2 linked regions of the Coturnix japonica genome follow. The protein of the gene in region 2 binds, or shares a complex with, the protein of the main gene of each other region. Links are inferred from orthologs where the notes say so. Each region holds a gene or a part of one and is shown on either strand. Other genes may lie near its edges.

Evidence for each region. The genes of interacting proteins can lie anywhere in the genome.
Region 1: the proteins of MMP2 (region 2) and TIMP2 are in contact, whole or in part, in a crystal structure (PDB 1GXD), measured with the Homo sapiens proteins. The link is inferred for Coturnix japonica from reciprocal best matches to the Homo sapiens genes MMP2 and TIMP2. Residues at the interface, in NP_004521.1 of Homo sapiens: Trp574, Lys576, Asn577, Lys579, Tyr581, Phe588, Arg590, Lys595, Asp599, Phe602, Lys604, Ile606, Ala607, Asp608, Ala609, Trp610, Asn611, Ala612, Asp615, Tyr636, Leu638, Leu645, Lys646, Ser647, Val648, Lys649, Phe650, Gly651, Ser652; in NP_003246.1 of Homo sapiens: Ile162, Pro163, Cys164, Tyr165, Ile166, Pro169, Leu173, Met175, Val178, Thr179, Phe191, Arg196, Asp198, Ser200, Cys201, Ala202, Trp203, Tyr204, Arg205, Ala208, Lys211, Gln212, Glu213, Phe214, Leu215, Asp216, Glu218.

The regions. Positions count from the first base shown.
Region 1 is NC_029533.1:4,617,366-4,621,663, reverse strand, and holds the start of TIMP2 (metalloproteinase inhibitor 2), read left to right. Parts: upstream 1-1,469; 5' UTR 1,470-2,094; coding exon 2,095-2,224; intron 2,225-4,298. UniProt on the Homo sapiens protein: Complexes with metalloproteinases (such as collagenases) and irreversibly inactivates them by binding to their catalytic zinc cofactor. Known to act on MMP-1, MMP-2, MMP-3, MMP-7, MMP-8, MMP-9, MMP-10, MMP-13, MMP-14, MMP-15, MMP-16 and MMP-19.
Region 2 is NC_029526.1:2,825,472-2,829,031, forward strand, and holds part of MMP2 (72 kDa type IV collagenase), read right to left. Parts: intron 3,200-3,560; coding exon 3,026-3,199; intron 1-3,025.

The DNA of each region.
Region 1 (4,298 bases), on a different chromosome or scaffold from region 2:
GGTGAGCTGAGACGTCACAGCTGCAGGGGATTTCATCAGGATGTTTCTCACTGTGTTAGCTGGTTTTCCTTCCCCTTTTGCATAAATGGTGCAGCAGATGTGTCGGTAACTGACTGCTTGGTCATCATGTTTAGGGGAAGGCCTCATGGGGAGGGTCCCTTGGGAGATACTATGTGCTTTATGCTCCCAGCCTGGCTCACCAGGGCAGGTGGAGGCCCCACAGCCACCATCCTAAGCAGGGTCATAGGGGACGTGAGAAGACAAACACAGCAGAACCTGCCTGGCTGCTCCCCGCAGTGATGTTGGGTGCAGCCTTCTTGCAAACCACACTGCAGTGCCCTCAGTGCACCAGGCTGAGCAGCCACCTAGGAGCTCCAGGCACTGGGGGCAGCTCAGAGCCTGGCTCTGGATGGCTGGGGCTGGACCAAGGGGTCTATTGGTGTCAGCCCCCCTGTGCCACCCCTGCCTGCCCCAGCACTGGTCAAGGACTGATGGTGCTCAGGGCCCAATGGCCCAGCTCTGGGGGGATCTTGCTGTGGGCTGGGGCCTGCTGTGAGCTCAGTGGGGCTGCTCTCTCCCATCCCCCTGCTCTGCCCCTGGTTTAGTGTCCAGCATCTCTGGAGCTCTGCGGAAGGAGCGCACGCAGCTGGACATGTGTTTCTGCTTAGCCCCAACAACAGTGACTCACTGCAGGGCACTGTGCCCTGAGCACACACGTTTGTCTGCCCTGCAGCACAGCCCTGACCCCGCTGCTTGGCCTCGTTCTGCAGACCCTGGGCTGCCGCTGCTCCCTGCCCACACCAGCTGCTGTTACGCTGCTCTGCCCTCACCTGCACCGTGCTCAGCCCAGCCTGGGGACTGGCTTTACAGCACCTATCCCCTCCTCATCCCACACATCGCAGGCCCTTGTGCTCTCCATCCCAGCCCTGGGGGGCTGCTGGGGTTTCATGGCACAACCAGGGCCAGGTTGCAGCATCCCTGTGCCCCCCCAACCAGCCCCAATGAGCACTTGGAGCAGATACCCACTGCCACAGCCTAGAGCCCATTGGCATCTTTCATGCCACCACCCTGCCGTGTTTGTGTGCTCACCTCCCACACCCTGCAGGCTCGTGCAGGGCCTGGACCGGGCTCAACTGCTCACGTTTCAGTTGGTTCTCACCCTAAAGGGTGAAAGCTCTGACACCTCCACCAGGTGTGAGCAGGGCGGACACTCAGATGTGGCTCAGGAGCGGCTGGCATCACCACAGCACTGCTGTCCACACCAACACAGCCTCAGGGACAGAGCTGGGGCTGCCCTGGCTGGGATGATGGCAAAGCAGAGTTGCAGCTGTGCGACAGGTCCAGCGATACCGGCAGCAGATGGGCAGATTTTGGGGGCACGAGGCAGAGACCCGAGGGCAGCGGGTCATCGCAGGGATGCAGAGCCCAGCGAGAGGCCGAGGGGGAGCGGGGGAAGCCAGACGGGGTGGGCGGGGGGGGTGGGTACGGGCGGCGGGAGGAGATGAGCTGGAGGAGCAGGAAGGAGAGGAAATGCTTGGGCACAGACATAATGCGGCCCTCCCTGCAATTTGCCGCTCCGCTCGGATCGGGCCGGCTGCCAGCGCTGTGAGCCGGGCCGGGGTCCCGTATCGCCGCCCAACGCCCGGAGCAGGATCCCGCCCGGTCACCGGCGCTGCCCCGCTCCGTCCCGCTCCGAGGCCCCGCCCGGGATGAACGGCGGAGGAGCCGCGGCCGTGCCGGGATGCGCGGGCGGGGCCGGGCCGGGCCGGGGGGGCTGAGCTCGGCGCGGAGCCGTATCCAGCGAGGGGCGGGAGCAGAGCCGGGCTGGCCCCGTGCCATGCAGAGGAGGAGCAGCGAATCCCCGGAGCACATTAAAAAGCGAAGCTTAGCGGCAGCCAGGGGAAGAAAACACCTCCATAGAAGGCAGCGGAGAGCGGCGGCTGCAGCAGCGCCCTCGAAGCCGCTCGGGGGGCCGCGGCGGCGGATCCAAACTTTCCAGCGGCGGATCGGGGCGGGGGGGGGTGGGCGGCTCGGCCGGGCCCGGCGGTGGATGAGGCTTTTTGGGGCGCGTCGTTGAGCCGCAGCCGCCGCACGATGCCCGGAGCCGCGCTGCCCAGCCTGCTGGCCTGGCTGGCGGTGCTGCTGCTCGGCAGGGCCCGCCCGACCGACGCGTGCAGCTGCTCGCCCATCCACCCGCAGCAGGCCTTCTGCAACGCAGACGTAGGTGAGCGCTTTGTCCCCGCGGAGCCCCGCCCGGCCCCGCACAGCGCGCAGCGCTCAGCCCCCCGACGTGGGGCAGCGCCGCGTAAACTTCGACGTGGGGGCGGCGGGCGGAAAGTTGGCGCGGGGCGACGGGTCGGAGGGGAGAACGGATGGATGGATGGATGGATGGATGGATGGATGGATGGATGGATGGATGGATGGATGGATGGATGGACGGGGCTGCCGCACCGGGCCCGGCCGAGCACCGCAGCACCTGCACGTGTGCGGGGCCCGGGGGTGTGTCGGTGTGTCGTTGGCCGGTGTGTGTGTGTCCGCCCGGTGTGTGCCCGCCTCTCCCGGCCCATCGCCGTGCCCCAGGGCCGGGAGCGGAGCTCGGTTTCTCCCCCGCGTCCCACGGCGATGGGCCCGGCCGCGGCACGTCGGGTGGGAGCGGGACGGTACGTGGCAGCGCGGGGAGCTGACGGCCCCGGGGGAGCGGAGCGCTCCGGTTCCGCTCACAAAGCGGAGCTTTGCCGTAGGGCAGCGGCCTGGAGCGCTCAGCCAGCAGCCGGCCCAGAGCAGCGCCGGGCTCGGTCACCTCCCGTCTGTTCCTTATTTCCAGGCATTTCCTTTCCCCCGTCCCACTTTGTTCGGCTTGGATGCTGCTGAAAGGGAGGGCTTGGCAGCGCCGGGATCTGGATTCCTCTTTCGATGAATAATGCCCTTATTAAATTTTAGCATATTAAACAAACAGACCGGCCCCAGTTCCTGCCGCCCTCCTTGGCGGGGCCGTTCCCAGGCCCAGCTGGAGAGGTAACATTCCCAAGCACTTATGCAGCCCTCTCCCTGCCTGGTCCCCTGCTCTGGATCCAGGATGTGCTGGCAGACCCTCTTTCCCCCCTTCCCCCAACCCTTTCCACCCTGCTTGTGACGTGAGGGTAAATCCCGTAGTGCCCCATTGCTGCCATCCCCACGCAGCTCAGAGCACTGCGGGATGTACTGGGGACGGGGAGGTGCCCACACAAAATGGAGAGCTGGATTTCCAGAGCTGCTGCTGAGCCCAGAGCAGCGGATCTCCCGCAGACAGAGAGGCTGAGCCTCCATCACGCTCACGTCGGGGTCATCCTTCCGGGCCACTCGTGACTCACGCTGCCGTCCCGGGGTGCCGGCTCACCCTTGACTCAGCTGCTGAGTCACTGCTGTCTCGGCATTCCCGGCTGTCTCAGCAGTCCCAGGAAGAGCCAAGCGGGGGCTGGTTGTGGCTGCCCAGCAGGTGTCAGTTCCTAAGCTGTCTGGTCCCGTCTGTGCCATCCCCGATGCCATCACCCCCACTTCCAGCCTGTGTCTTCCTCTCAGATGACGTGGATGGGATTTGTCCGCTCTGATCCCAGCTGGGGATGGTGCTGGGTGCTGGCTGGCAGCAGGGTTTGATCCTGGCAGGAGCTCACAGCCTCCCATGCAACAGGAGCCCGTCCTGCTGCCTCTGATCCCTGCCCTTTGGCTCCTTTCTTCCCTCTGTGCTAGGAGGCTCAAGGCCAGCTCCTCCCCAGCATGGAGCCAGCTTGGGCCTGGGAGCTGCTGCTGCTGCTTGCTGTGCCAGGGCTGCTCCTCTCCTGCTGCTAGCTGCCTTGGGGCCAGGCTGCTGCTGCCACATGGGTCCTTCCATGCAGCCACATCTGCCTGTGCCATCCCAGGGCTCATCTGCTTTTGCTCACACCTGGCAGCCACTGGTGAGGCACCATTCTGTGATCCAGAGTGGGGCTGGAGCCCAGGGCTGTGCTCACAGGCAGCGCCACAGTAGGGTGAAATATGGCTCTGCCTTGGGCTGAGGGTCATGTCACCGTGGCTGGTGACCTGGGGCTGGTGATCCAGCCTCTGTGCTCATGCTTTCTGGCCTGAGAGATGGGCAGCAGTTTTCTATAGGACTTGAAGGCTCACTGGGTTTATGTGTGTGAGGGGTGGCAGTGTCCCTCTGTGGCTGCTGGGGTTTGTTCTGCCCATGCTGCTCAGCTCCCTAGTAGGGATGTGGCTGGGCTGGGGCTGCAGCAGCAGACCATCTCCTGCTTTGCTTCTTGTCTGCAGCATGGGGATGCCGA
Region 2 (3,560 bases):
GTTTGATATAACATCATGTGATGGCAACATCAGAGCTTTAAGTTTTCAAGGATTCCCTCCCTCCATCCCCAACAATTACTAGAAAAGTCTTTGCTTGGATGTGAATGAAAAGTAAAGGGACTAGTTTCCCCAGAACAAACTAGTAAGGACGTTAGTGGATTGTAAGATCTTAAAAGGGCCTGTCTCTTGTTCTGCATCATAGTAAATTCAACAGTTTAAAATTTGTAAAGTTCTACAGCTGCAGCAGTAGATTTAAGCTGGACATAACTGATCTGTGAGCTGCAATGTGCTGTTAGTTCTTCCCAGAAAAATCAGCCACTGGTGATGTTAGGAAACCTCAGGCTGGAAGGCTGCTAAAACCATGTGGCACAGGCCCAAGGTGGAGGTGGCTGCAGCTACAGGAGATGAGGATGCAGCCTGAGAAAGCAGTCAAGCTGCAGTGACAGCCTACAGTGTGACTGGTGCAAGAAGTATTTGGCCTGTAGGAGTTGCAGAGGAAACCTGTTTTTTTTTTCCTGTTTTTCCTATTCAGGACATTGTCCAGTTTTCTAAGTTGGTCTGATACAACCTGCTGCCTTGAATCAAGATCTTGATATTAAAGATGGCATAACTGGGAGAACCCCATTGACTTAAACCTCAAGCCGACAAACTGTGATGTGACCATCTGGTTAGCATACGTGTATTTCATTGGTGTACAAAGCTCTGGAGTAAGACAGATAGCAGTAATGTTAGGTGTCGGAGGGCCAAGATTTGGAGTCTTAACTCCCTGTAGTGTAAGTGGACTTTGGTAGAGAGAGTGATTTAACATCCCTTGATCCCATAAGGTAAAGGAGAGGTTTTACACAGTTGTATAACATGAGTGCAGTACATAGACAACTTTCTGCTTTCCCTTACTTTCCTTTAAAAATGATCTCTTAGCCTACAAATGAGGGTACAGATCTGAGATGTACTTTAGAAAGGCCTAGTGCAATACTACAGCTTTAAGGCAGATGTTTCCAAATGAGCACTGTGCCATACTGAGGTGAATTGAACCTAACTTTGGTGAATTAAAAGACAGAAACAAACACCAACAATTAGGAATATTGACTCCAACATAAGCTGTATGATGTAAATCCTCTATCTGAATTTATTAGCAGGGTTTAGCAAATGGAGTCTCGGAATAATGAGTAAACAATGCTGCTCTGAATTTAATAAGAAACATCTGTGCAGAACTGCTCAAGGATCTTGCGAAACAATTACATCAGAAACAAAAGGTTGAAATCGTTCTGTTCCGTTTCAGAAACCTTGATACAAGCATTTCCAGGAACACCAAATTGCAGAACCAACTCCTACTGAGAGTGCTTCACTGCTCCCATTTTCTGTCTTGTATGGTTTTTGCATTTTACAAAGGTATTGGTCATGGTGTGCAGATGTCTGTTTGACCAGCTTCCTGTAATATAGGCCTAATTCAAACAGTCTCTGAGCATCTGAGCTATCTTAAGAAAAATAAACCCAATTCTGCTCTTTTCCAGCTGGAAGGATTAACCTATGAGAGGGGAGATTTGAGGGAGGGTGGGGAGAGAAAGAGTAAAAGAGCAAAAAGCAGAGTTTGAGGAAGGGATTTGATTGTGCAGTTCTGTACATGTGTGCACGTGCCATTTACTGAAGTAAATGAAGAGGCTAGTTCTGAAAGGAATGCAGCTAATTGTAATATCTCTTCATTAACTGAAATGTGTTAAACGTTCATGTTCTTTTTTCTTCATCTGCTATGCCCATACAAATAGTTGTCACCATGGTAGATCCCAGCTCTAGATATGGTATAGAATGGGCAATTAGGTTTTTGGAGAGAAAAGCATACTTTTTTTTAATGAATGCTAAAGGACTGTTTATATTCTGCAACAGATTTTCTCTGACAGCTGTTAGCTTGCTTCTAAAGAAATATTATCTTCTATTGGAAAGTGTACAGTCTTGAAAATAAACTTAGTGCTGTTGTTCCAAGCTGGATTATCATCCGTCCAGCAAAAGTTCCAATATTTTCTGTTTTGCTCTCTTTCATAGCTGCCATTATTTGCTGTGTCACAGCAGTAACAGTTATAGTGGTGATGTGTGCTCACTGCTCAGATGTCAGGTAACAGGAATGATGAAACACTGCCTGCTCCCAAAAGTTGACAGCAATTGGTTATGTACGAAGGGCAAAAATGAGCATGGGAAACTGCAGTACTGGAACAAAGCGAGTGGTTAAAAGCTCCTTATTTTCTCTGTCCTTTTCTCTTATGGCATTGATTTATGAAGGCTGCAGCTAGTTATACTCAATTGCCTCTCTGAAGTTTCCCTGCTGTGTGATATAGGGGAGATCAAATTAACACTTGTACAGGAATGAATTGTCTGAAATCTTGTATCCAGTAGATTAATCAAGAATTTCAAGAACACGATTGCATTCCCAGTGTTTACTGGGGATCAAGCTGTCAGGTAATTTCATTATAAATATCATAGTCATGCAATGTGTATTGTAGAAAAAGTAATGGCAGCATGACAACATGATACAAAGAGCTACCAGTTGCTAAAATAAGTAAATTGATATGTGAGGTTAGAAATTTGCCTTAATGGGCTTCATCCCTAACTGCCAGACTTGAGCAGTTGCTGCTCTTGAAGGAGATGTTCTGTAATTTAGGGAGAGATTTCTGTCGTTTACTGCACTCCTTCTCTGAATTTGACCTTCTCCTTATGTTAACATGTAGTTTGTTCCTGGATTGTGAGACTGATCCTTTGTATCTTTGATGTACAAATGGAGCCTGCATTACTTCAGGTGTATTTTCAGTATGTTCTTGTTTTTAGAGAAAGGAATTGGCCTGGGTCATTATCAACTACATACTCTTCTACACCAATGGATTCTGCTTAGTTACAGTGGAGACATTAGACATAAAGACCAATAGATCTGAATCTACCAGAAGGGAAGTGAAAAAAAGTACAAGGAGAATGGATAGATTAATCAAGTAAGGGAACAGTCTAGGAGGAGGAAAAACACTAGAAACAATTTTTTACTTACACTCATGGGGGCAAAAGCCATATTTGCCATCTGCATCAAAGTCTTGGGTTGTGGAACACCAGAGGAATCCATCATTACGTCCTGCATCTGTGCAGCTGTTGTATTCCTTCCCATTGAACCAGAAGGGAAATTTGCAGTATTCACCATCTGCATTTCCATACTTTACTCTAACCACTGCAAAGAGAACAGATGCAATGCTGAAATGAGTCACTGACTGGAGGATATTGGTGTAAATGTAGTGTGGATTTCTACTTTGAAATTCTATATGTTATTGGTCTCTCTATTGGCAAGGTGGTCATAGCTGAAGTAATAACTGGTAATTTTGAAAGAATTACATAGATATTACTCATGGTGAAGTGTTAGAATTGAACAGTCCTTAAAATCAGCCCAGAAAAATAAATGTGTTGTTACTTTGGCAATGCAAACTTATATACATGCTGTTAATATGTTTAGTAATTGAGTTTCTTTGGTAATGTGGTGTAAAATGTTCAGTATATTTTGAAAGTTTCCAGGCAGCATGTTCATGTTGAGCATC